3 linked regions of the Elephas maximus indicus genome follow. The protein of the gene in region 2 interacts with the protein of the main gene of each other region in a biochemical or structural test. Links are inferred from orthologs where the notes say so. Each region holds a gene or a part of one and is shown on either strand. Other genes may lie near its edges.

Region 1 (7,965 bases), on a different chromosome or scaffold from region 2:
CATGCCTATTTTCAGGTTACTTGACGTTTTTTTCCCCTAGCATTTTTCCTCTTAAAGTTAAGGCCTCCAAAGATAACTCTGCATCTATTCCTACATGCACGTGGGAGGCAGGCACACAAACACTCAATGATTTACTAAGCAAGTCCAGAACGCATGGGAATGTTCTGCCTCTCACACAAGTTTGTCCACACTCTTGACTCCTAACAGGAGCCCGCGCTCCGGTTGCTCCCCCAGCCGCCTTGCCCATCTGCCCCTCCCTCCGAGAAGTCTCCTTAGCTCTGGGCAGGGAAAGGTTGGCAGTGCCCTCCACCAAACCTAAAGCCATTCACTCAGCCCATGTTTCCACCAGAACCCTGCACTTCCGCAGTTCCAGGTCCAGGCCCCACAGGAGCCCCTCCCCAAATCCCGACAAAGTGGCGGCCTGGGGCGGCAGGTCCGAGCAGCTCCGCACCCGAGTGGACAAAAATACAGAGCGGCCCCCTACGCGGGATAATTAGGTCCCGAGCTCGGAGTTGGGAACACAGGCCCAGCATGCCGCTGGCGGCCACAATCCAGTTTCCTGCCTACAATACCATAATCCTTCCTGGAGCCTGAGCCCCAGTGAAAGCCCCGGCGTGTTTATTTTTCCCCTTGAAAGGGAACTGTCTTCTCAGCCTGCACGCGGGAGGAGTTGTCACTCTCCCTCTGACGGATGGGTCTTCGCGGCCACCCGCTCTCCCGGTCGATTCTCCCCTCAGCACGAGCCGGCCCCAAAGACAGGCAAAGAGACCACTGGGGAGAAAGGAACCACGGGAGTAGTCCCCAGGCCAGCGCTCAGCTCCCAAACTTCCCACAACAGTCCCAAACCCCTGCCCTCCAAGAAGGACGGCCAATGCCAGGGCCCGGCTTAGTGGACTGGCCCTTCTGTCCACTGCTGGTCACCCACACTGGGCTCTTGGGTGCTTGGCTCCTGGGTAGATTTCACATCTAGAAAGTCGACACTGCTCCACCAGGTTGGGGATGCCCCGCTGCCCCAAGGGGCACACGCACCTCCCGGCTCAAAGCCTCCTTACTGCTCCCCCTACACCCCAGAGCTGAGTAGGGCAGGAGCCAAGGTGTCAAGTCCGGGGGGGAAATTCCTCAACACACTGAAATCGCAAAAAATAAATACGGGTGGACCCAGGACAACAGTCCCCGCCCTGTGAACACTTGCAAGCCACCGAGATCTTGAGGGCAGTTTGGGGGTACTCCTCACCATCACCACCCCACTTCATGGTAGCATTTCTTTCATCAATTTGCTAGAATATCCCGTTTTTCTTCCCAGTCCTCCGCGCTAAAAAGCTGAAAAAATCTGCATTTTAATTGACATTCCTGGGAGAGGGGCGCCTGATTGCTTTTCTATTCAAACTAAACAGGCTTTTCAGATGAAAATGAGTCGAGACCGGTGGAAGATTTACAGGGATTTGGGACCAGGGGGACAATGGGGTTTTAAATGTTGATAGCATTTCACACCAAACACATAATGGGTGCCCCGAGTTTGAAAGCAGGTTCGCCGGGAAGAGTAGGTTCATTGAATCGGGCAAGAAGGATGGGCTGGAGGAGTTTGCGAGCGGGCAGTCTGCGCGGCGCGCGGTGGCTTGTCCGCCCGGGCCGGCTCCGTTCCGCAGAGCGCAGCCTGCGCTCGGCCCCGCGGGCCGCAGTGGTCGGGCCGGCGCCTCGCAGAGCCCGCGGCCGGCTCCCCAGCGAGCCCCGCCTCTGGAAGAATGAGCGCGCAAGTCAGAACTCGCCGGCGCTTTCGACATCTGCGAGCGGCTGCAGGGCGGGCGAGCCGGGAAAAGTCGGTGCAGCCCGCCCCCTAGCCCCGGGCGCCGCGCTCCCTCCAGCCCTCGCCGCCTGCCCGGGCTCCAGCGCCGGCGGCGGCCGCGTACTACGAAATCTGGGAACCCGAACAGTGCTCCTCCCCAAAGATGCCCCCCACCCGGCATCGCCATCACTAGGGGATGGCAACCGGGATGTCGGCGGTCCCACCCCAGCGGCTCCCTCCCGGGTAAGGGTCCACCGACGGAGCTTAGATGGAATGGGACGGGCGCTCCCCAGGCCCAGGGATGAAGCACCCCAAAGGTGCCCCGCAGGGCGCCCCGCCTGCGGGGCTGTGCCACCAGCAACCAGCCCCGCCGCCCACCCGCTCAGGGGTCGGAGGAACGGTGGGCTGAGCCAGCGGAATTTGACGGAGAAGGGGTGTCAACCCAAGAAGCAGATGTGAGCATCTGGACGGGGGTGGTGGAGGCAGGACTTCCCAAACGCCAGCCGCGAGCACGCACCCACCTTCCCCATCACCTAAGCAGCAAGAGGGAGGCCAGGGGCCCTCTTCCCAGTGGCATTCTCCCGCGCCTTCCCCCAGAGGTCAGTGGCCCGGCGTCCCGGGCCCCCACGACGCCCCTGTCCCGCTGGCGAGGCGTCCCGCTCTGTCCCGCTCAGCGATTACCTTGAATGGCAACGCGGCTCCGCGATCGGTCCTGTCCCCGCGGCCGGCGTGGGTCGGGATGGAGGGAGCGCCGAGCTCGGGGGTCCCTCGGTGGAAACTCCAGCCGAGTGTCGTCCTTGGATCCTTGGCAGTGCAGGGGCTTGGGCTTCACGCGCACCCGGGGCTGCGGAGTAGCGCGGGCATGACGCCCGCGGCTGCGCTCGGGTTTGGGGAGCGAGAGGAAGAAAGGACTCCGGCTCGGCGTCTCCGCCACCAAACTTTGCTCGCCACTTGCGAGAGGGGAGAGCGCGCACGGGAGCTGCGGCCTCCGGGCCCCGCCGGCCTGGAGAGGAGTTGCGGCGCCAGGCCGGGTCCGCCGCATGCAGCCCCGCGGCCCCGAGCTTTGTGCGGCCGCCGCCCGCTCCGCGCTCCGCACCCGCCGCCGCTCAGCTCTCCGCGGCGCTCTGCGCTCTCCACCGCCGCCGCCGCCGCCCGCGCCACCGCCTCCTCCGGCGGGTCACGCCCCCGCTGAAACCCGAGCCGTTTCCTGGACGGCGGCGCCAGCTCTGCCAATCAGCGCGGCGCACTGGGGCCGCGCCGAGCCCTGAGCGGCCCCCGACGCCTTGGAGCGGCCGGGAGACCCCGGCCGGGCAGGCAAGGGGCCCGGGCGCGATCTGGACGGGGAGATGCAACTCTATCCTCCAGTAACAAGGCCGGTCTCCCCCAACCTGCGCCACCGCCTCCTTCCCTTCCCTTGGGAGGTCAACTGACCAACGTTTTACTAGGTGCCTGGGTGACGTTGTTTTGTTTCAAGTCAGAAAACAAATCACAGATTACCTGCTCTACCCTTAAAGGAACTTTGAAATGCGTAGGCGTGCTATTGGGAGGAGAAATTTAATGCAAATGAAACTTTTGAAGAAGGTGAGACAACTTGGAAATTTTGTAGGGGGTTGCTTTTTTTTTTTCCCCTGGCCTTCAATACCATAGAAGTGAGGGGGAAAACCTAATATTTTATGGAGGCCCCACCATGTGCCAGGAGTTCTGAATAAGTTATTCTGTTTAATCGGCACAACCCCTCTGCAGAGCAATATTCCCAATTTCTGGAAAGGAAACTGAACATCAGAGAGGTTAAGTAATTTGCCCAGGGTCACACAGCTGGTTCCAGGCAGAGCTGACTTTGAACGTGGCCCTTTTTAAAAAAGTGAAAAACTGCGACAACAACAAATTGTTTTGTAATGTATATTTGGGTTACTAAAACATTTTTAAAATTCTAAAAAGTCAACTCTGCCACAAATAGCTTTTGGACCTTCAGAAAATCAGTTCTTTTCTGTGGATCTTAGATTCTCTGACTGCAAAACCAGGGAGTTGTATCTGATACGCTTTCAAGTTCCTATTTCCACTCTACCTTTTTCACTAAGCTGTGTCCACAGGCTCATTTCTTTTTTACTGTACTTTCTCTCCCTCCTCACTTAGCCAGCTCCTAGGCAGTCTGCCTAAGTTCAAGGCAATACAGATAAAAAAACCTTAATTATCTTTCTTTAGGAAAGGTCGTTAAACCAAGAAGTGACTTAAGAAGGCTTCTGAGGCCTAAAGACAGACAAACGGAGCAGTGAGTGCCACGCTGACCCGGAAAACCGACTTTGCCTGCATTTAGAAACAGAGTTGCACGTAGTTCCTGAACACTGTATTCTTTGCAACATTTATGAAAATATTTTTCCAAGGTGCCACCTTATTAGGAAATCTTTTTTTATTTGCAATACATCGTAGAAACCTTTCATACAAATTACTTAAAAGCCAGGAAAGAGTGCAAATCCATTAAATGATTCAGGCAAAACCAAAAACTAAACCCATGGCCATGTGAGGCGATTCCAACTCATAGCAACCCTGTAGAGTAGAACTGCCCTGTAGGGTATCCAAGGAGTGACTGGTAGATTCGAACTGCCGACTTTTTGGTTAGCAGGCAGAGCTCTTAACCACTGATTGAGGCAAACAGCTCTGAAATTATACTTTGGAAATTTGGCAGCAAAAACTAGAGTCTGAGTCTCAGACGGAATTATCAGCCCATTGCTGAGAGGGAGGAAACAAAAAACCCGCTGCTGTCGAGTCGATTCCGACTCATAGCGACCCTATAGGACAGAGTAGAACTGCCCCAGACGGATATGCTTTTAATCAAGTCCTCTAACCTGGATCAGTCCCTGAATCTTTGAATTCAATGACGCCTCAGCCAGGTGTCCCTCAGCCACTCATTCCCATCTAGGTTGTTCTGTCCATACCAAAATGTTTTCAAGCTCTCAGACCTAGGGTCACCTCTGAATGTCAGTCTGCTGGGAGGTCGTCACTTACATCTTTATGTTCCCCACCAACGGGAAACCCGAGTGTCTCAGGGCAGATTCCTGTCTCATCCTGTACGGTATCCATCAGCCACCGAAAATGCTGTTCACACATTCTCACATAAATTAATGGTGCAGGAAACCCAAGTCCGTATCTCTCATTCATCAATAGCTTTATGTTCTCTGAATGGGAAGGAAGCCTTCCGCTGAAAATAACAAATAAGAACACCTTCTTTAACATCCAGACGCAGTTTCCAGAATTTATTCTTCATAGGGATGAAAAGACACCCATCCATCAAAAGCCCCTTATTCCCTCAAGAGTGCTCCTTTTTAAGTGAGTGAAGCCACAAGCCCACTGCAGCAAACGCTTCAGTTTTGAGAAAAGTAGAAGCATGTTTGGAATGTTTTATTACTATTTTTTTTTTTTAATCAATTCTGTCATCAAATTTAGACTTCAAGTGACCTCAGAGGGTCTAGGAAAGCTTTCACACCAGCGAGGCTTCTGAATGAGAAAATAATCTCTTTACAGTTTTTTCTCTTCCCTCTTGAGTGGCTGGAGCCCCTTTTGTCAATGGCCTCCCATGAATGGTGTTGCTAATAAGCCTATTAATGAGCTACCACGGCGGAGTGTGAATAGGTAAATAAGCCCCAATCTGTTGAGGTTCAGGGACGAGGGCAGAAAAGCCATCAAGAACTAAAGGTGACAGTTTGAACTGAACAAGGAGCGCCAGCACCAGGTTTCAGCTGAAAGAACCATCAGACAAGGCCACATTCACTGCCCTCCACCCCCTACTGAGGCTTCTTTTCTTCCCAATTTTCCCCCCTTTACAAAATGTCTTCAGTAGGCACTCTTTTTTTTTCCCCCCCAAAAAGCCCTCGAGACGCCCTTCTTTTTTTTACTCTAGTAATGATACATCAATGGGAAGGAAGAAAAATGAGGACACTAGAACTCCGATGCCCCAGAAGTTTCTAGAAACAAATTGTGCTTCAAGCCCGTTGGTTATGGGAAGAGAAAAGAGGAAGGGGTGGAGACCTTCACTGCCACAGGCCTTTCTTCTTCAAAGATTTGGGATTTTTCTTTTCATAATATGTTTTTTGGATGGGTGGCTGTTCCTTCGCCCTACAGAAAAGTTAGGTCAGGAAAAGGTCAATAATGTGCATAGCGTAGACAAAGCAGTAGGAATGAGTACTGAATAGTCTAAGGACCATGCTAAGAGTACTTACTCCTGGAGGTGAGGGGAGAGGCCGAATCCCCAGACAGCAAGCACCCATTTTCAGGGAGCCTGTGGCATTTAACGGAAGCAAAATCATGGATCCACCACTGAACCTCACCAATGATTCTGAACTTAGAATTGGGCCTGAATTTCAAAGCTGAGACTTACCTGGAGAGAAAGTCCTTCTGGAAGTATCTCCTCACCTTCAGGTGAGGGAGCATTGCTACCCTAAATTGAGGGGATACAAGGCTTTGATTCCACAGTCAAGTTGTGGATCTGGTCACTCAATAGCTGTGTGACTTTGGGCAAGTTACGATCTCTGAGTCTTCTGTTTTCTTGTCTGTAAATTGATCAAAAGAATGGCAGCTATCTCACAGGGGGATCAACCTGGGTGGTGCACACGGTCAATGTGATTGCTCTGCTGCTAACGGAAAGGCCGAAGGTTCAAGTCTGCCCAGAGGCACTTCAGAAGAAAGGCCTGGCACTCTTCTTCTGAAAGGTCACAGCTATTGAAAACCCTACGGAGCACAGTTCTACTCTGACACACAAGGGGTAGCCACACATTGGAACTGACTCCCCAGCAACTGATACTGATAAATTGCATTAAAAACCCATTGCTGTTCCGTCAATTTGAGGTCATAGTGACCCTGCAGGGCAGAGTAGAACTGCCCCATAGTGTTTCTAAGGCTGTAAACCTTTGTTTAAACAGACTGCCACATCTTTCCTCCACAGAGTGGTTGATGGGTTCGAATGGCGGACCTTTCAGTTAGCAGCCGAGTGCCTAACCACTGCGCCACCAGGGATCCTGGTAAATGACATAGGATTACTAAAAGGATTAAATGCCTTAGGAGGTGACAAGCAGAACAGTGCCTGGCACATGGGAATTGCTAGCTATGTAAGCGTTACTTATGATTATTGTTATTGTTGTCACCGTGTGCCTGCCAGTCAGTTCTGACTCGTGGAGAACCCTCCTAGGACTATTGGGAGGGTTAAAGGAAATAGCTTAACCTGTAGAGCCACAATCTAGAAAAAAAAAAATTGCCGTCAAGTTGATTCCGACTCATGGCAACCCTACAGGACAGAGTAGAGCTGCCACGTAGGGTTTCCAAGGCTGTAACCTTTACAGAAGCAGACTGCCGCATTTTACTCCCGCGGAGTAACTGTTGGGTGCGAACCTCTGACTTTTCAGTTAGCAGCCAAGCGCTTTAACCACCATGCCACCAGGGCTCCTTAGCACCACAATACCTGAGTATTAATACGGGCTTGGGTTTAACATAGCCTTGAGTCATTTTGGCTGCTAAATTCCACAGCTCCCCCATCAAAAGGCCTGGCGGTGCCTACCCAAGACTCAACTGTGATGAAATGATGAAACATGTCCTGGGCAGGCCATCTGAGTCCTACAAATGGCTGTTGAAATGGAAAGCATTGCAGTGCTCCTCGGTTCCCTCTGTTGCCCTTCCCAGCGGCAGTCCCTGGGTGGCGATGGAGGCAGAGGGGGGGATACTGTGTAGCTTTGCATGTTTCACACTCGTGAGCACAATTAGTGTCAAAGAGTTTCTGCAAATCCATGGGGAGCATCTGAATAAAAAATGCCATTATGCCCTGTGATGAGGTTTAATGGATTTCCAGGTGTTCTGACTGTCACAGGTAGGCCTTCCTAAGACAATTGGGCCCAAAGGTGAGGAAGCGACTATTAAAGCCTAAAGACCCCATGGAGTTTGATCCCCACATTTTCGGGCACACAGAGGGGATGTGACAGGCCCAAGGACGCCCCGCTGGTTAATGGCAGGGAGACCCAAAATTCCGCTCTCCTGACCAGCTGGGGTTTATCCCAGTGGCCACCAGGGCAAGCTGACCCCTCTCACCCATGCCAAGGGATTCCACACTTTCTAAATTATTCAGCTTAGTATGGAACTGAGTAGAATTCATTGACTCCCAAAATATTAATATCCCTCCCAAAATTTACCCAGCCCATTTC
Region 2 (7,765 bases):
TAGTAACCCTTCTCTGTGAGGAGTCGACTTCATGAGTTCTCGAAACTTACAGTTAATGTAAAGGGAAGACAGTGAAATAAAACCCAGTTGCTGTGGATTTGACCCTGACTCATGGCGACCCCAGGTGTGTCAGAGTGGAACTGTGCTCACAGGGTTCTCAATGGCTGATTTTTCACAAGGGGATGGCCAGGCCTTTCTTCTGAGGCACCTCTGGGTGGACTCAAACTGCAAACCTTTAGGTTGGTAGCTGAGCGCTTACTATTTGGGCGACTCAGGGACTTTACCAAAGAGTGGGAAGACACTGGCAAATGAAGTATATTCGAAATGTTCCTGTAGTCTAGCTTCTTTTTGAATTGATAGTAGTAGGCTGGTCAAGAAGGCTGGTCTATGGTTCTAGGATCCCTTTACCAATATTGGTCTGCCTGCAAAATGTATCTGACAGGTTTGTGAATATCAAAATAACCATGGATCTGCAGGCTGGAGGAGCATATAGCTCTCGATCCCAAATGAGCACCCAAGGATTTGACAACAGAGGCACTTCTTGAGTCCCAAACCACCAGTTAGTGAAGGCTGGTGTCATTCATCATTTCCACCACCCATCTGTCAGTTTGTCTGTGGTGACCTGCATGTTGTTATGACGCTAGAAGCAATGCCACCAGTATTTCAAATACCAGCATGGCCACTCATCGTAGACACATTTCAGCAGTACTTCCAGACTAAGACCGACTAGGAAGAAAGGCCTGGATATCTATTTCTAAAAATTAGCCAATGAAGTTGCTGGAAGGTGAGCTCCCTAGGTTCAAAGAGACTCAAAATACACATTGGCTGCAACCACGGACTCAATACCAACGATCACGAAGATGGTGTAGGGCAGGGCCACGTTTCGTTCTGTTGTACATGGGGTTGCCGTGAATCGGAGCTGTCTCTGGGGCAACGAATAACAACAACAACATTAACCATCTGGTCACTCCCCAGTATGCACTGGGCATCTCCTACGCCAAGAACAGTCCTGGGAGCTGGGGACACGGTGGTTTGCAAGACAGACATGGTCTCTGACCTCAGGAGCCCGCTAATTAAAGAAGAAATTGAAGAGATAAAGAAGGTATACGCAGATAGTGGTGGGCATAAGAACACAGAGATGGGATGGAAGAGAGACTGAGGAGGGGTGTAGAGGGTGGCCGGGGAAGGCCTTCTAAGGCCTCCTGAGGTGTCAGCCACGTGAAGTCAGGGAACAGCAATGTCCATGCCTCATGCTGGCAAACAAGCGCCACCAGGGTGGACGGGGCGGCAGAGGTTGGGGGGATAACATCGATGGCAGTGGCCGGAGCACACAGTGGGGGAGCGGTGAGAGGAAGGAGTTCCTCTGGATTTTATACCAATCACAAGAAGAAGGCGCTACAGGGTTCCATGCACATAGTGACATGATCAGATGTAGCTATCACGGAAATCACTCAAGAATCTTACAAGAGATCCTGACACCTTGGACTAGAGTGGAGGGTGTGTGAGAAAGAAGCGGATAGACCCAGGACACACTTTGGAGGTAGACCCAGCAGGACTTGCTAACGGGAAGAATCCCGGGGACAAGGGAATGGGATGTTCCCAGGGTTAATTCCTAGGCTTCCCTCTGAGCAACTGAGCTATGGGGCCTTCCCCAGGAGATGGAAAGGTTTGGCTCATCCCAAGACCTGTTTTAGGGACATATTAAGTGTGGGGTTTGTATGTTATCAACTCAGTAATTTTTTTTTTTGTTCTAGGACATAAGCAAAGATAATGAAAATAATATAATGAAGACTTTAACTTTAACATTTCCCAAAATCATGCATATTCTAGTTGTCTCTTTAGGATCCTCATACTTTGATACCAACAAGAGTCCTCGTGGCACAATAGTTAAGTGCTTGGCTGCTAACCTGCTAACCGAGACATTAGCAGTTCGAACACACCCATATGCTCCAGGAAAAAAAGGACCTGGTCGTCTGTGTTCATAAAGATTACAGCCTAGAAAATCCTATGGGCAGTTCTACTTTGTCACATGGGTTGCTAGGAGTTGAAATCAACTACATGACATCTACTGACAGCATTAACTTTGATACCATGTGAGTGGGAAACTCTAAAAATCGTCTAATCGTTTGGTGAGGGGCTGGCTAAGAACGTAGCTCCACGCTCCTGATTTCTCCACCTCTCAGACCCCTGCAGACGCCACACTTTGAAAGTTTGTGGGAGAAAACCTTGGTGTGGGCCTCACTAGGCTAAGGGGTAGGTTTGGCTGACCACCTATCTTTCATCTTCTCCATCATCATCTCTCTCCAACCCCCAGCACCCTCCCTAACACCTGCACCCCCGGGTCACACTCACCTCGCCGACCCCAGCACGCTTGGGGAGGTTGCCCAAGCCCACAGAGAAAGCGGATTTAATCGGTATCTGGCCAGAGACGCAACCCTTGGGCAAGAAGAATGCCCCCGACTTTGTGGTGGGTGAAGGCGCGCTGAGCCAACCCGCATCACTGAGGCCGCGGCTAGGAAGAGAGAGTCCTGGGACAGCCCCTTCCCTGCGCACACGCCCTCACAAGCACACGCGCGCGCACACACAAATTCCCCGCTCCAAGCTGTAGAAGGTTTCCTTCAAAGGCAGAGGAAACGTGGATACACCCTGGCGCAATTTCCTACTTTTGTTTCTTGCCGCTGCTCCGTCCGCCCTGGTGCTGTCCGGTGCAGGGCTTCGCACACTCCCACCCCGAGGGCTGGCTTGGGTCCGCGCGCACTGGAGGCCGCGGGGCCGAGAGATGGGGGTTCGCCCGCGCCTCCGTGTCCCGCTCCTCGACCACGATGCCGCCTGGGTCGCAGGGCCGGGCTGCGGGGCCAGGGGCACAGAAGCAGGCAGAGGCCCGAGCACGGGCCAGGGCGAGTGGGAGCCGGCTCTCGGGTCCCCGCCGGGCTGCAGGAGGCGGCTAGGTCCCTGGGCGGGCGGCGGCGCGGGCCCGGGCAGTGCTTACCTGCGGCGGCAGCGGCCGGCGGAAAGGAGGGACGCGGTCGTTCCGGACGCGGGGCTGGGGCGCCCGGGGCAGCCAGGAGGAGACTAGGGGGCCTGGGCCTGGAGGTCCGACCGTCTCCAGCCCCCGCGCCTCGGCCGCGCCGGGACCAGACGCACTTCCTCAATCCTGCGGAGGGCGCTGGGGCGGGCGGCGGGAGGGCGGGCCGGCGGGCGGGCGTCGGCGGCGCAAAAGGCGCGCAGGGAGAGGCTGCCGCGCGCCCAGGGTCTGGGCGCTGCTGGCTCTCACGGTGTGGGGACGAGGCGCCCCGGGGTGCCCCGCCTCAGTTTCCCTAGTCGTTAAACCTAGGTGGCCAAATTTCTTACTCCCTGCCCCGGGAAGGTGACAGGCTCCGGGGAGCCTTCTAGGGTGGAGTCCTCCTCCGAGTCCGCTGGTGCACGCGGGAAGGCGAAGAGAAAATTAGTTCTCGGCTTCACCCAGCTTGCCCTGTCCCTCTACTCTGCTCTGCACCCAAATCGGCGAATTAACTCTAACTTGCGTGTTGGCCATATTCTCTGGCAGTAAATATGAAAAATACGGAAATTCCCTTGTGTACATCCCTTCTACAGGGCAAAGATGAGTATTTTGTAAGCTTTAATATTTTGCAAACTGCTCCTCTCCTACATGAATTTAACTGATTTAATTACGGATGTATGCAAACACACAACTATTTGATGGATCGTTTTTAATGGCTTATTTTGTTTGTAGGTAAAACGTGGTGGAATAACGACAACTTTCTTTCACCCTAACGTAAGGATGTCCGTCACACCATTGAGGCTCATACGCCAACGCAGGCTTCAGATCAGGCTCTGCGTGTTCACTGAGGGCAGAGAAGCCCGCTCAGAAAAACCTATCAATGGACGCCCTGTAAGGGCCAGCCCCATAGGCTCCTCTCATGTAATGTAATGATGGGAACATTCCCAGGATTTAGCGCAAAGCGCAACGATAAACGGCTACGACCCTCGCTGCCATTTCACAGAAACCGGAGCAGCCATAGGGCCCTGGCTCGACGTGACGGACACCCCGCGTAGTGGTCCCTTATAGCGGCTGGTGGGGGCCCCTGGTTGGCGAGGGAACCACTGGTCAGCTTTGCTCTGCTCTCCGGAGACTGCCTTCAGAACTGACGGCCACGCGGCGCCTTTTCAGTTTTGCAATTCTATCCCCACCACTGGGGTCTTAGTATCATATGCTAGGTCATCAGTATGACTGCCACCGAAAAGTCCCTAATAATTTGCAGGACTTGGCGTGCGCTGTGCTGAGTGAGCCCGGCGTAGGCGGGGAGGCGCCTCCCCGGCGAGGCCCCGCCACCTAGCGACGCAGTGATGAAGCGCACGATCCTAGCTGGTGACCCTGGAGCGGACTGGACCAACACCCCCCCCCAAAAAAAAAACCAGGGGAGGATTATTTCACATTTTTTCACCACATCAAAGTTTCTGCTTCCAGGTATGGCTGGCATCTGTCCCTCTTTCAACACCATAGCACCTTCCCACAGAATCAAAACCTCTTTTCAAATTTACAGTCCCTGACAGGGTCGGATGACCCAGTAAGCAAGGTAAGCACCAGTTTACTTGTGTTTACTTACTAATCTGTAGTGAACAATCAAAGATATGGTGAAACCCATGAGAAATTGTTCACTACAGATGGTCTGGTAAGAAAGATAAATACTGTGCTTACCTTGCCTATTAGGTAATCCACCCTGCCAACACCTGCAGGGTCCACTCAACTTCCCTGTTAAATGAGCTTGGAGACAGGCTAAAAAATGGTCCCAACATGAAAAGCAGCTGACATTTGACACTCAGATATCCTATTTTGAGCTAGTTATATCCTGGCATTCAACTCAACTCTATGCATTAGGCATGAGTCATAGGTTCCCATAGAAGGCTATTACAGGTCAGTTAAGATTCCTTTTGGCTTCTTCTTGGATCCCACTGGCCCATGTCCTCTAGCTTGTACTCAGCATCCTACCCAGATTTTCAGCACCTCAGAATGGAATGGCCCGCCTAAGGTGGGTCAGCCGGAAGCTGCCTCCAGAAACTTCGGTTTCTGCCTTCTGAAGGCACAGTGGCAGGCTGTTCCCTCCATGTCTTCTAGCTATGTTTCTTCAGTGTGGTACTCAGTTTCCTCAGATGTTTCTCCATGGATGCTTTTAAAAAAATGTCCCTCACTGTCCCGGTCACCTTCAAACTCAAGTTAGCCATATGGGTAAGAGCAAGGACATTCAAAAGGCTTCAGATACCATCAGGAGGAGCAAGGGTACACCAAAGGGGCCACTGTTAGAGAACGTGCCTCCCCCTCACTCATCCCACAGGCACACAAGTGCACACACATGCACCATGGCCCACCTATTGTCCCCAGGATGGTTCTCTTCAGGGAGCAATACACTGGTAAACCAAAATGAAATAAAATGTCATTTTACCATAATTTTCTGCTCACACCTGGATTGAGAAGCGGGATATTTCTAAATGCATATGTATTTTAAGAGGGATCAGATTCGTTTTCTCTTAAAGGAGCTGTGCTTTGTCAACACACGGCAAGAGTGATTTAGATTTTCAACATTATGTGTACAGGCTGAGCTCAGGGGACCTAACCAAGTACAAGGAGTGTTCTTGATCCAACTTCAGTGACAGCTCATGACTTGGTGATTGAGGCTTCTTGGTTAGAAGTCTTAGAAACGTTAGGTAAATTAAACACAAGCACCTAGATCCTTGTGAAGAAAGTGATAAAAACAGACACTTAGACACACAACTGGGGACATGGTATTTTCACTAAATTTCTCTTGTGATCTTCCCCACCACTTTCCACACTCATGGCAAATGTCCTCATCACTTTATACTAAAAAGAGACTCGGGCAGCTCAGGTGACCAGTCTAAAGTTAGCCAATTAAGACAGAGAGACAGTGAAGCCAGGCTCCCTGCCTGGTTGACTCCAAAACCGATAGGAATGGGTTTCACGCTCAGGCAAAGCACTAGGCCTGATCGATTGAGCAAGGGGACTTGTAGCCTCAGTTACTGACCCTGCTTTGTTACAAGACATTTTGTACAGAAGACCCAGGAAAGAGGGGTCAGCCACAGAATTAAAAGGGATTGAGTTCTCAAATGAAAACAGAACAAAACACAACATAATGTTTCTCAAATACCTAAGTTTATTTTATCATTGTTGCATTGTTGAGCTCAATCTGTAGGTAGGAGCCGAATTTCCAGGCTGATACATTTTTAAACCATACCACAGTGGTAAACCTTTAAAAAAGTGAAATCAAACAGGATATAGATTTCCATTTCTAAATACAGTATATTACAGAAGGTTAAATATACCACCTCTGTGTACTTACAGCTATAAAAAGATATAATTAACTATACCAAAACCCATTGGTGTCAAGTCGATTGCAACTCATAGCGACCCTATACCAATCGTAATTAATGTAGAGTTTCATATTAAAGGCATTATTGTACAATGGAAGAAAAAGAACCTCCAAGGCATTACTATCGAGGTTAGTGTCTATAGTTAGTTGAGATAAAATCCTGACGATTCAGTGTAAGAAGTCTAATCCTGACCTAACAAGTGAATTGTTAATGTAAGTGTTAACTGATGGAGAGAAGGTGAAGTACACATTGCATATTGCTCACGAGGATGATAACCCCATTTCCTGCGTGATTTTCTTTATACACACAGGTTGTGACATGGAGCTTCATCTTATCACTGTGCTCACGCCAATGAATTGTCAAGCACAAGCACCATTTTTCCCATTAGAAAATGACTAGTTAGTAACAGTAACAGTGTCCGAATAACACAATTTAAGTTTGGTTTTGTTTTTTTAAAGCTCTATGGAAACACCTTCCGTTTTCCAAGTCAAAGTTGATGGGATTGCACACCCTTTGGATACACAAAGAGGAAAAGAAAACTTCACAACCTGTTATAAAGTACTCAGACCACTTGGATTTAGTAGGAGACCCAGGTCCTCCAGGGAGCCCATGTCTTATCTGTTAATTACTCAGAAATTAACATCAAAATAGGACTTTGAAAAAGCAGGTCTATATTATGACAGTCGTCTTTCCAGTTCCGTATGTTTTCCTAATCTAAACCGGGTAACAGAACTGGAAAAAGGATAAGTATGTAGGCTTATCATAAACCATTAAGGAGTGTAGTAGAAAGGCAGAATTCCTAAAATGAATTATTGCTTTGGTGTGTTTGTAAAATGTGGAACTTAATTACCGGGGGATTCGCTGTGCTGTTGGAGGGTCAGAGCGTTGGCTCCTTAGCAGCAAAGGCGATAGAACTTTTTTTTTTTTTTGCCTAAGAAAGTGCCTTGGTTAAGATAGACAATGACACATTTTTAGAATATGCTCTTTGGGCTACGATTTGGTCAGATTCCAAAGGCAGTATTGTTTTTATAAGCTGAGTGCCGTGGTCACTAAATATGCAGACCTCAAAGACCCTCACCCACACATGCCCACAACCCCCAAATCTCCGCCCATCAGATCCTTGCAGCCTTTTTTTTTTTTTTAACTTAGTGTTAATGCTTTTCCCACTGCATGGTACCGTCAGCCCTCCCCCAGAAAGAGAGGCTTGTTCTGTGGACAGGTGAACCTGAGGAGACCGTAGGTGCAGGGCTCTGCTGGCGGAACATGCAGGGAGTTTTTCCAAATTCTTACTAGAGTCAGATTCAGCAACACATTTTTCAGGAGCTGCTGGCCACTGCAAGTACCACTTCCTGTTAACAGTGCCCTGAGCATCTTCACTGTC
Region 3 (7,477 bases), on a different chromosome or scaffold from region 2:
TGAGGCTGTGTTCATTCTTCTTCATTCTTTTTTCTCTCTGTTCTTCAGATTGCATATCTATGGATCTAACCACAGGTTTGCTAATTCTTTCTCTTTCCCCTCTGTTGTTAACAGTAATTTCTGTTACTGTACTTCTCAGCTCCAGAATTTCCATTTGGTTCCTTTTTATAATATCCATCTTTTTGATATCCTCTATTTGATGAGACGTTGTCATCGTATCTTCCTTTATTTCTTTAAGTATGGTTTCCTTGAGTTCTTCGAACATACTTTTAATGACTACTTTGAAGTCTCAGTCTGTTAAATCTGACATCTAGTCACTCTCATGTGCAGTTTCTATTGTCTGATTTTTTTTTCCTGGTAATGGTTCAGACTTTCATGTTTCTTTGCATGTTTCATATTTTTTTGTTAGAACCTGGACATTTTAGATAATATATTGTAGCAATTCTGGGTACTGGTCTCCACTTGCCTCCATGGCTTGTTATTGTTATTTACTCATTTATTTATTTAGTGACTAGATAATTTTACTGAAGTCTATTGCCCTTTTCTGATGCTGCTTGTTGGAGGGCACAGCCTTGGCCATGAGCGCAGTCACTCTGGATGACAATGGTTTTGGCAGCATCTTCTCTGACTATCTCTCTCCCTGACAACACCCAGCTGTTAAATTCTACTAATTTCTGACTGGTTGCTCTATTATTTTCAACAATGTCCTGGGGCATAAAGAGCTCCACAGACTGATCCAATTAAATTTGGGTTCCTTAACAGGGTTAGTTTTTGAGGTGACTGTTTAAGTTTTGCTTTGACCCCAAGAGGGCTCTTCTTAGCTGTCTCTCTCTCTCTCTCTGGTAAACTTGCCAGCCTATGGTTTTGCTTATATCTCTAGCATGTCTACCAGTTTCGTCATTAACTGTTTTTTTACCATACCTCCATTGTTTTTGAAAGTGCCAAAATGCTAAACTTCCCCAATTTCTGTTGCATATGAACTCATTTCCTTTTGGCAGATCTTTGGAGCTCTCTGTTTTATGGCCTGCCTCTCTCACTGGGTAAAAATTTCTGAGCCGCAAAGCTGGAGCTGGGGGTGGGGACAGTGACGGTTTCTCTCCAAGTGGACCATCTGCCATAGGAGCAAAGTGCTCAGCCAAAAGAGGGGTTAGCTGTAGCCTCTGATCTTCTTTGCTTGTTTCTCGCAGAATGGAATCTCCACTTTACAAATGAGCCAGAATGAGAGCCCCTATTACTGTCAGCACACTGCGCCCCAGGTAGAGCCTCTGTCCCATGAGTGGGATCTGGATAAAAGAAGAGAGCTCCACCTCTCAGCTACACTTGCTTGGAACTTAGCCTCTGCAAGAGGTAGATAGGGGAGAAAGACTAATGTCCTGCCCCACTGGAAAGATACTGTAGCCCTGTGATTGGGAGCTGAGGTGAGGGCACCCTGCGTTCCTGGCTCCACCTATCTGGAATGGAGTTTCCATCACTCTGAGCTGAGAGGAGGAAGGGGGGAGCAGGTTGTGGTTCAAATGCCATAGACTCACTGCTCTCATTGAATTTAGGTAGATTTTCTTGAAAAAAATGTTTCTTCATTTCCTGTATTTCCTTAGGATCATTTCCAGAAGACATTAAATGTTGTTGTTGCTGTTGTTGTTTTAATAGTTTTCAACAGTTTCACTGGAAAACAGGTGTATGGAGCTCCTCACACCACCACGGAGAAGTGGAAACTATGCTACCATTTTTAATGTTGTTGTTGTGGTTAGCTGCCATTGATTTGGCCCCTGAATCATGGTAACCCCATATACAACCACACTAAACACAGCCCACTCCTGCACCATCCCCATGATTAGTTGTGGATCAGACTGTTGTGATCCACAGGGTTTTCACTGGCTGATTGTTGGAAGTAGTCTGTCAAGCCTTTCTTCCTAGTCTGTCTTAGTCTGGAAGCTCCATTAAAACCTGTTCAGTATCATAACACACAAACCTCCAAAGACAGATGGATGTGGCTGTGCCTGAGGTACATCAGCCAGGAATCAAACTGGGTCTCCTGAATGAAAGGTTCTACCACTGAACCACCAATAATCTCTACCATTTTTAATATGTTCCTATCATTTTTAGGTGTTACTGATGAAGTTTTTTAAAGTTGTGCCTGGTCCCTTTTTTTCCATATACTCTGTGGTTTTTATTGCATAATATTTTTATTATTTTTAGAAACCCGTATTGCACTACAGCAGAACAAACTAAACGCTGAAAGTAAGAAAATGTTAAAGATGGACTACATAAACAAAAATCAACAAAAAGCTGGTGTGGCTATAGTAATGTCAGACAACTAGACTTTAAGTTAAAATATATTACAAGAGATAAAAGTTGCAAGTATTCCATACAGATGAAAGGGTCATTTCAATAGGAATATATAACAATCCTAAATTTGTGTGCTCCTAAAAATATACATTCAAAATACATAAATGTATAAATCAATAGGAGGAGCTGCATAATCCCATTTTAAAGGGCATGGACCCAGAGGGAAGTAAAGGTGGGTGGCTATCTTTGCAATCTACCACATTAACAGAAGACAAAAAACAATTAATCAAACAAAACTCTATTTGATTAGTCCATAAAAATACATAAATACATAATAATATACTTTCAAAATACATAAAACAAAAATTAACAAAACTAAAAAAAGTTGATATATCCAAATTATAGTTAGAGTTTTAACATATTTCTTTCAGCAACTGACAGAACAAGAATACAAGAGAATTGAACAACATAATTAACCTACCTGACTTAAATGCCATATGAACAATGCTACACCAAACAGCCTTTTCAAGTACATTATTTCCAAGTATAAAGGTATGTTTACAAAGATGGAAAACATGCTGAGCCTAAAAGCAAGTCTGAACAAATTCCAAGGAAGTGGACTAAGAATACCTTCTCTGATCACAAAGTAAACTAGAAATCAACAATAACTCAAAATCTCCAAATATCTGTAAATTAAGAAATGTACTTCTAAATATGTTTTAAAACATACTTTTAAATAGGTCGAAAATGAAAATTGTATAAACCGAATCATAATGAAAACACGGCAAATTATTACAAAACATTATAGGTATAAATGAAAGAAAAACTAAATAAATTGTTGGATATAACAAATTCATGAATGGAAGATTCAAATTTTTTTAAGATTTCAGTTCCTCCAAAAGTAATTCAACCATTCAATGTAATTCCAATCAAACTTCTAGCAGAATTTTATTAATGAAAATTGACAAACTACTTATAAAATTAATATGCAAATGCAGAGTCAATAATAAGTAATTCTCTCTGGAAACGGAAGCACGATGTTCCCCCAAAAAAGGGAGTGAGAAGTAAGCCACGGAATGGGAGAAGGGATTTGTAGCACATTGTGGCCAAGTGTATTTTGGAATCCTGGCCTCAACAATATCTCTTAACCCACATGCTCTTCTGCAATGTGACCTTGCCTCTCCCTATCTAGAGTTGGGGAGCACGTCCCTTGGGCAGGCTTGTGACTACTTCATTGATCAATAAAGTATGCCAGAAGTGATGCTATATGACTTTCAAGGTTGGGTTACTAATATACCCAATTCTTCCTCTGCAGAGAGATGGTCCTGGTTTTCGGCAAGGAGGTGTGGACTTTTGGGGGGGCGGGGAATGGAAAAGTGGGAGTGAAGTAGAATTTAAAGCAGGGAAGGAAAGTTGAGATAGTCATTGTCATGGGATTTATTTTAAATTAGATTCTAGAGACAGAACCGAAAAGAGAAAGGAAGTCTGTGCGAGGGTTTCCAAGTCAGAGAGTTCAGTGTCACCTGATTAAAGGACTTACGGATGAGCTCAGAGAAAAAAATTCGGGGGAGACCTAAAGGGGTGCCCAGACCTGCAGGTTGGGGGTTAGTTACACCGGGTGCCTGACTCAATGGCACTGCCTCCACCTGCACCAAAGATGTAGTAAGGTAAAGTCTGCTAAACGGTTTCAAAGCTTTGACATTACTGCTGCTTTCAAGTCATATGTATTGCTTTTTTGCTTACTCTAGGGTAGTATCTTGACGGCAGTGGGTGGGAGGCATAGTATTTATTGCTTGAAAGAAATTACGTAATTACAAGTTTGTGAAATTGTAATGCGCTGCCACATTTTGTCCATCCTTTAACTGCCAGGCCTCATTCCCCTTTACGGCGCATAAAGAACAGTGGCCTTACCTGCACTCCCTGGCCGCAGCAGCCTCGGGGGGCTGAAGGGCGGCGGTGCTATGGGAAGTTGCGGAGCCCGCACGTCTCACTTCGACTGGATGTTCAGGCGGCTGAGACGCACCGAGAGGTGCGAGGGGCGGTCTGCGGCCCCCGGCCCCGCCCCGCTCGGCCCCACCCCGGCGCCGCGGTCCCGCCGGCCGCCCCGCCCACCCCCGCGCCCGGCCCACGCCTACACTCGGAGCCCTGAGCCGCGGCCGGCTGGTCGGACCCGCGCCGCAGCGGCCGGAGATGCAGCGAGGCACCGCTCTGTGCCTGCGCCTGTGGCTCTGCCTCGGACTCCTCCCAGGTGAGCACGAGGAGCCCGCTGCCAGCCTTCCAGAGTGCGGGGCGGTGGTAGGGGCAGGGGTACCTCCCGCCGGGGGCGAGTAGTGGGACCGCACCGACGGACTCAGAGGGGACAGGACTGCCCAGGAGGAAGCCCTAGAGAGCCTTGTGGAGGACGGGAGGGCGACAGGGTTGGCTGGGAGCCTGGAACACCGAGGGAGGCAGGGGCGGGAACCTGGGGTACCGACAGCGGACGGAGCGCCGGGGTCGGGGCGCTGGGACAGCCAGGATGAGGAAAGGGCGGGCGGGGACTGCAGCCGGGTCAGGGACCGGCAGCCGTGCTGCGCCGCTGCGCAGCGATCGCCCTTGGGCTCCCCCGCTTCCCCTGTCCGTGGCTCCCTCGGAGCCGTGTCCCGTCGCGTTGCATCCTCACCCTGGATCCCTCGTTCCCTTACTCGGTTCCCCGTGGAGTCCCGGCGCCGCACTGCTTGGCCCTGGCGACCCACGGGCACGGAGATGGCTCCCTGGGTGCCGCGGCGCCAATCCTGGCCGAGGCCCAGACCTGGGTGCGCACTTCCCGACGCCTCCCGTCTGTGCTCGAGATCAGTCCTGGGAGGCCCCCAAGAGGGCGCTCCGGACGGGCGTCCACCTTCCCCCCCGGCTAGGGAGGCTAGGGACTGCGGAGGCAGGGACTTTGGTAGCGTCGGGCGCCTGAGGCAGAGGCCGCCAGGCGAAGAGGGCGCAGGTGAGAGTTGGGATTTGAGGTAGGGTCACCGCCCAGAAAAGGCAGGCAGCCAGGCCTTCCTGGATTTGAGAGGGCAGGAGCCTTGAAGGCCGAGCCAATGAGCCTGGCTATTAAGGCACAGGCCTCCACAGAAGGGTCTTTAAGCACAGGAGAGGCAGAGGCGGTGTTGTTGGGTACATGACTCTGGCAGGGTGAGACCCAAACCAGAAGCTGCAGCTGTGGGATTGGAGAAAAGGGAGGTGGGGCGTGAGAGAGGGAGCAGAAGGGATATGGTTAGAGAAGAATTTAGAGGACAAGGGAGGATGAGCTGGAGTGCACACAGGAACTGGCAGTCTCTGAAAATCAAGGAATGCAGGAGGGGTCCCAGGCCCTGGTAGATGGGTAGGAGTACATGCGAGATACCAGAACCTCCTTATGTTGAACACTGTAGACATTAAATACCTGCTTTACATCTTTCATCACTTTTAATCCTTACAGGGAGTGTTAGACCTATTTTACAGATGGAGAAGGTCAGATCAAGGACATTATGAAACTCCCCCAAGGTCCCCAGGAAGCCAGTAGTAGGGAAGAACTGGTCTGTGGGAAAAGAGATCCCCTGCTGTCTGCTCACACACCTGTGCCTTCAGCAGCTGAGTGGCTGAGGACAGGGAGAGGAGGGAGGTGGGGAGAAGCCTAAGGGGGAGGCCATCTGTAGCCTCTGAGTCTGGGCAGGTCTGGGCATAGAGGCTACCCTGGGCCCTTCCCTCTTTCCCCTGCACCCTGCCCAGGACCAGGCTCTCACAGGTGCTCAGTATGTTTGTAGAGTGACTAAATGGAGGAGCAGGGGTGAATGGAGCCCTGGTTGGACTGCAGGGGTCAGGGTGTGAGACCCTATGTTGAGCAGATGTCTGAGAGGCAGCTGGGTGTAACATCTGAGGCTCAGGAAAGAGGCTGAGTTGGGGAGCCAGAGAGGAAGCAGAGCAAAGGGTCCAGGATCGGACCCTAGGGCAGGGGGCCAGAGGCAGTGGGGGCTTGCAGGGAGACAGGGATGAAACATTCATCCTAAGGAGAAGCAGGAAAGGCCAGAGTCGTGGTGCCACGGGGCAGAGCAGTCACAGAGCTAGAATTGCGGCCGTGGCAGATGCCTGAGGGAGTCAGACGGGGTGAGGATGGGACCAAGTGTCCTCTGGATTCAAATCAAGAATGTTGTACAATGGGCGGCACCAGCGTGGGTAGTTGAGGAGTGAGGGAGGTGAAGCGGGGCACCATACTGAGTGTGGCTGTGAAGCGAGGGGAGAGTGTCAGCTGGAGGGGCTCATGGAGGAAGGGTGGCCCAGCCTGGACCAGGGTGGGGCTGGTGGGGAGATGTCAATGGAGACCATCGCCAATGCCTTCCCTGAGCCCGCACCTTGCCCCACCAGATGTTAGGTGGAGGAGGACTGGAGCTCCTGGCCTAATGGGGGATGCTAAAGCTGAAGCATAAACCAGTTAAGTGTAGTCAAGCATCTAGGCAGCTAAGTGGGAGACGAGCAGCCAGCAGGTGAGAAACTGGGAACCCTGAAGCTGCCCCCTCAAAAGTGTGCTGTTGGTTCTAGAACCAGGCCTGCCCCTGAATTCCTTGCTGTGTGGTCTGGGGTCCTTCCTTGCACTCTCGCACCTCAGCTTCCCCGTGCACAGCTGCAAGTGCTAAGGGGCTATGGCTTGGGCTGTGACTTTCTGGCTAGATGTCCCCAGTCCAGTTCCATGAAGTCTTGCCCAGCAGTGTCCCTGTGGAGAGGGTTAGTGACAGTTGTCGTCCCCAAAAGGCTTAGTCTGTAGAAAGGCTGTTTGTGCCTCTGGCCAGTACAAACTGGGGAAGCAGGAGATTCCTGGGCTGGCCTAGCCAGTGAACAGCTCACCCTGCCTTGGACTGAGTCCATACATGACCATCCCAGCCCTCTGCTGCTCTGCTATTCAGCCCTGAACCAGACCCAGGTGTGTACAGGGATATGGAGATGAGTGGGGGACCCAGCCTGCTTTACGTGGCAACCAGGAAACTTCTGGCCCCAGCTCAGTGCTCTAGGGACTCAAATCCAGGTGCTGCTCATTTGCCCACCTGCCTGAAGCACAGAGTGAGTGTGGCTGCCCAGAGCACAGTGCTCACCCACATGGGCAGGCCCCAAGCAGGGTGTGTCTGACCGATGAACTCCCCAGTATGCCATCCCACCCTGACCCCAGCCAGTGGCACCCAGACCAGGGAAG

The links. The genes of interacting proteins can lie anywhere in the genome.
Region 1: the proteins of LRRK1 (region 2) and FGFR2 form a complex in vitro, tested with the Homo sapiens proteins (2 studies listed by BioGRID and IntAct, with this or other methods). The link is inferred for Elephas maximus indicus from reciprocal best matches to the Homo sapiens genes LRRK1 and FGFR2.
Region 3: the proteins of LRRK1 (region 2) and FLT4 form a complex in vitro, tested with the Homo sapiens proteins (2 studies listed by BioGRID and IntAct, with this or other methods). The link is inferred for Elephas maximus indicus from reciprocal best matches to the Homo sapiens genes LRRK1 and FLT4.

Annotation. Positions count from the first base shown.
Region 1 is NC_064834.1:71,983,049-71,991,013, forward strand, and holds the start of FGFR2 (fibroblast growth factor receptor 2), read right to left. Parts: upstream 3,058-7,965; 5' UTR 2,465-3,057; intron 1-2,464. UniProt on the Homo sapiens protein: Tyrosine-protein kinase that acts as a cell-surface receptor for fibroblast growth factors and plays an essential role in the regulation of cell proliferation, differentiation, migration and apoptosis, and in the regulation of embryonic development.
Region 2 is NC_064831.1:92,684,026-92,691,790, reverse strand, and holds the start of LRRK1 (leucine-rich repeat serine/threonine-protein kinase 1), read right to left. Parts: upstream 3,080-7,765; 5' UTR 2,990-3,079; intron 2,643-2,989; exon of another isoform or gene 2,353-2,642; intron 1-2,352.
Region 3 is NC_064820.1:203,122,980-203,130,456, reverse strand, and holds the start of FLT4 (vascular endothelial growth factor receptor 3), read left to right. Parts: upstream 1-4,420; 5' UTR 4,421-4,476; coding exon 4,477-4,534; intron 4,535-7,477. UniProt on the Homo sapiens protein: Tyrosine-protein kinase that acts as a cell-surface receptor for VEGFC and VEGFD, and plays an essential role in adult lymphangiogenesis and in the development of the vascular network and the cardiovascular system during embryonic development.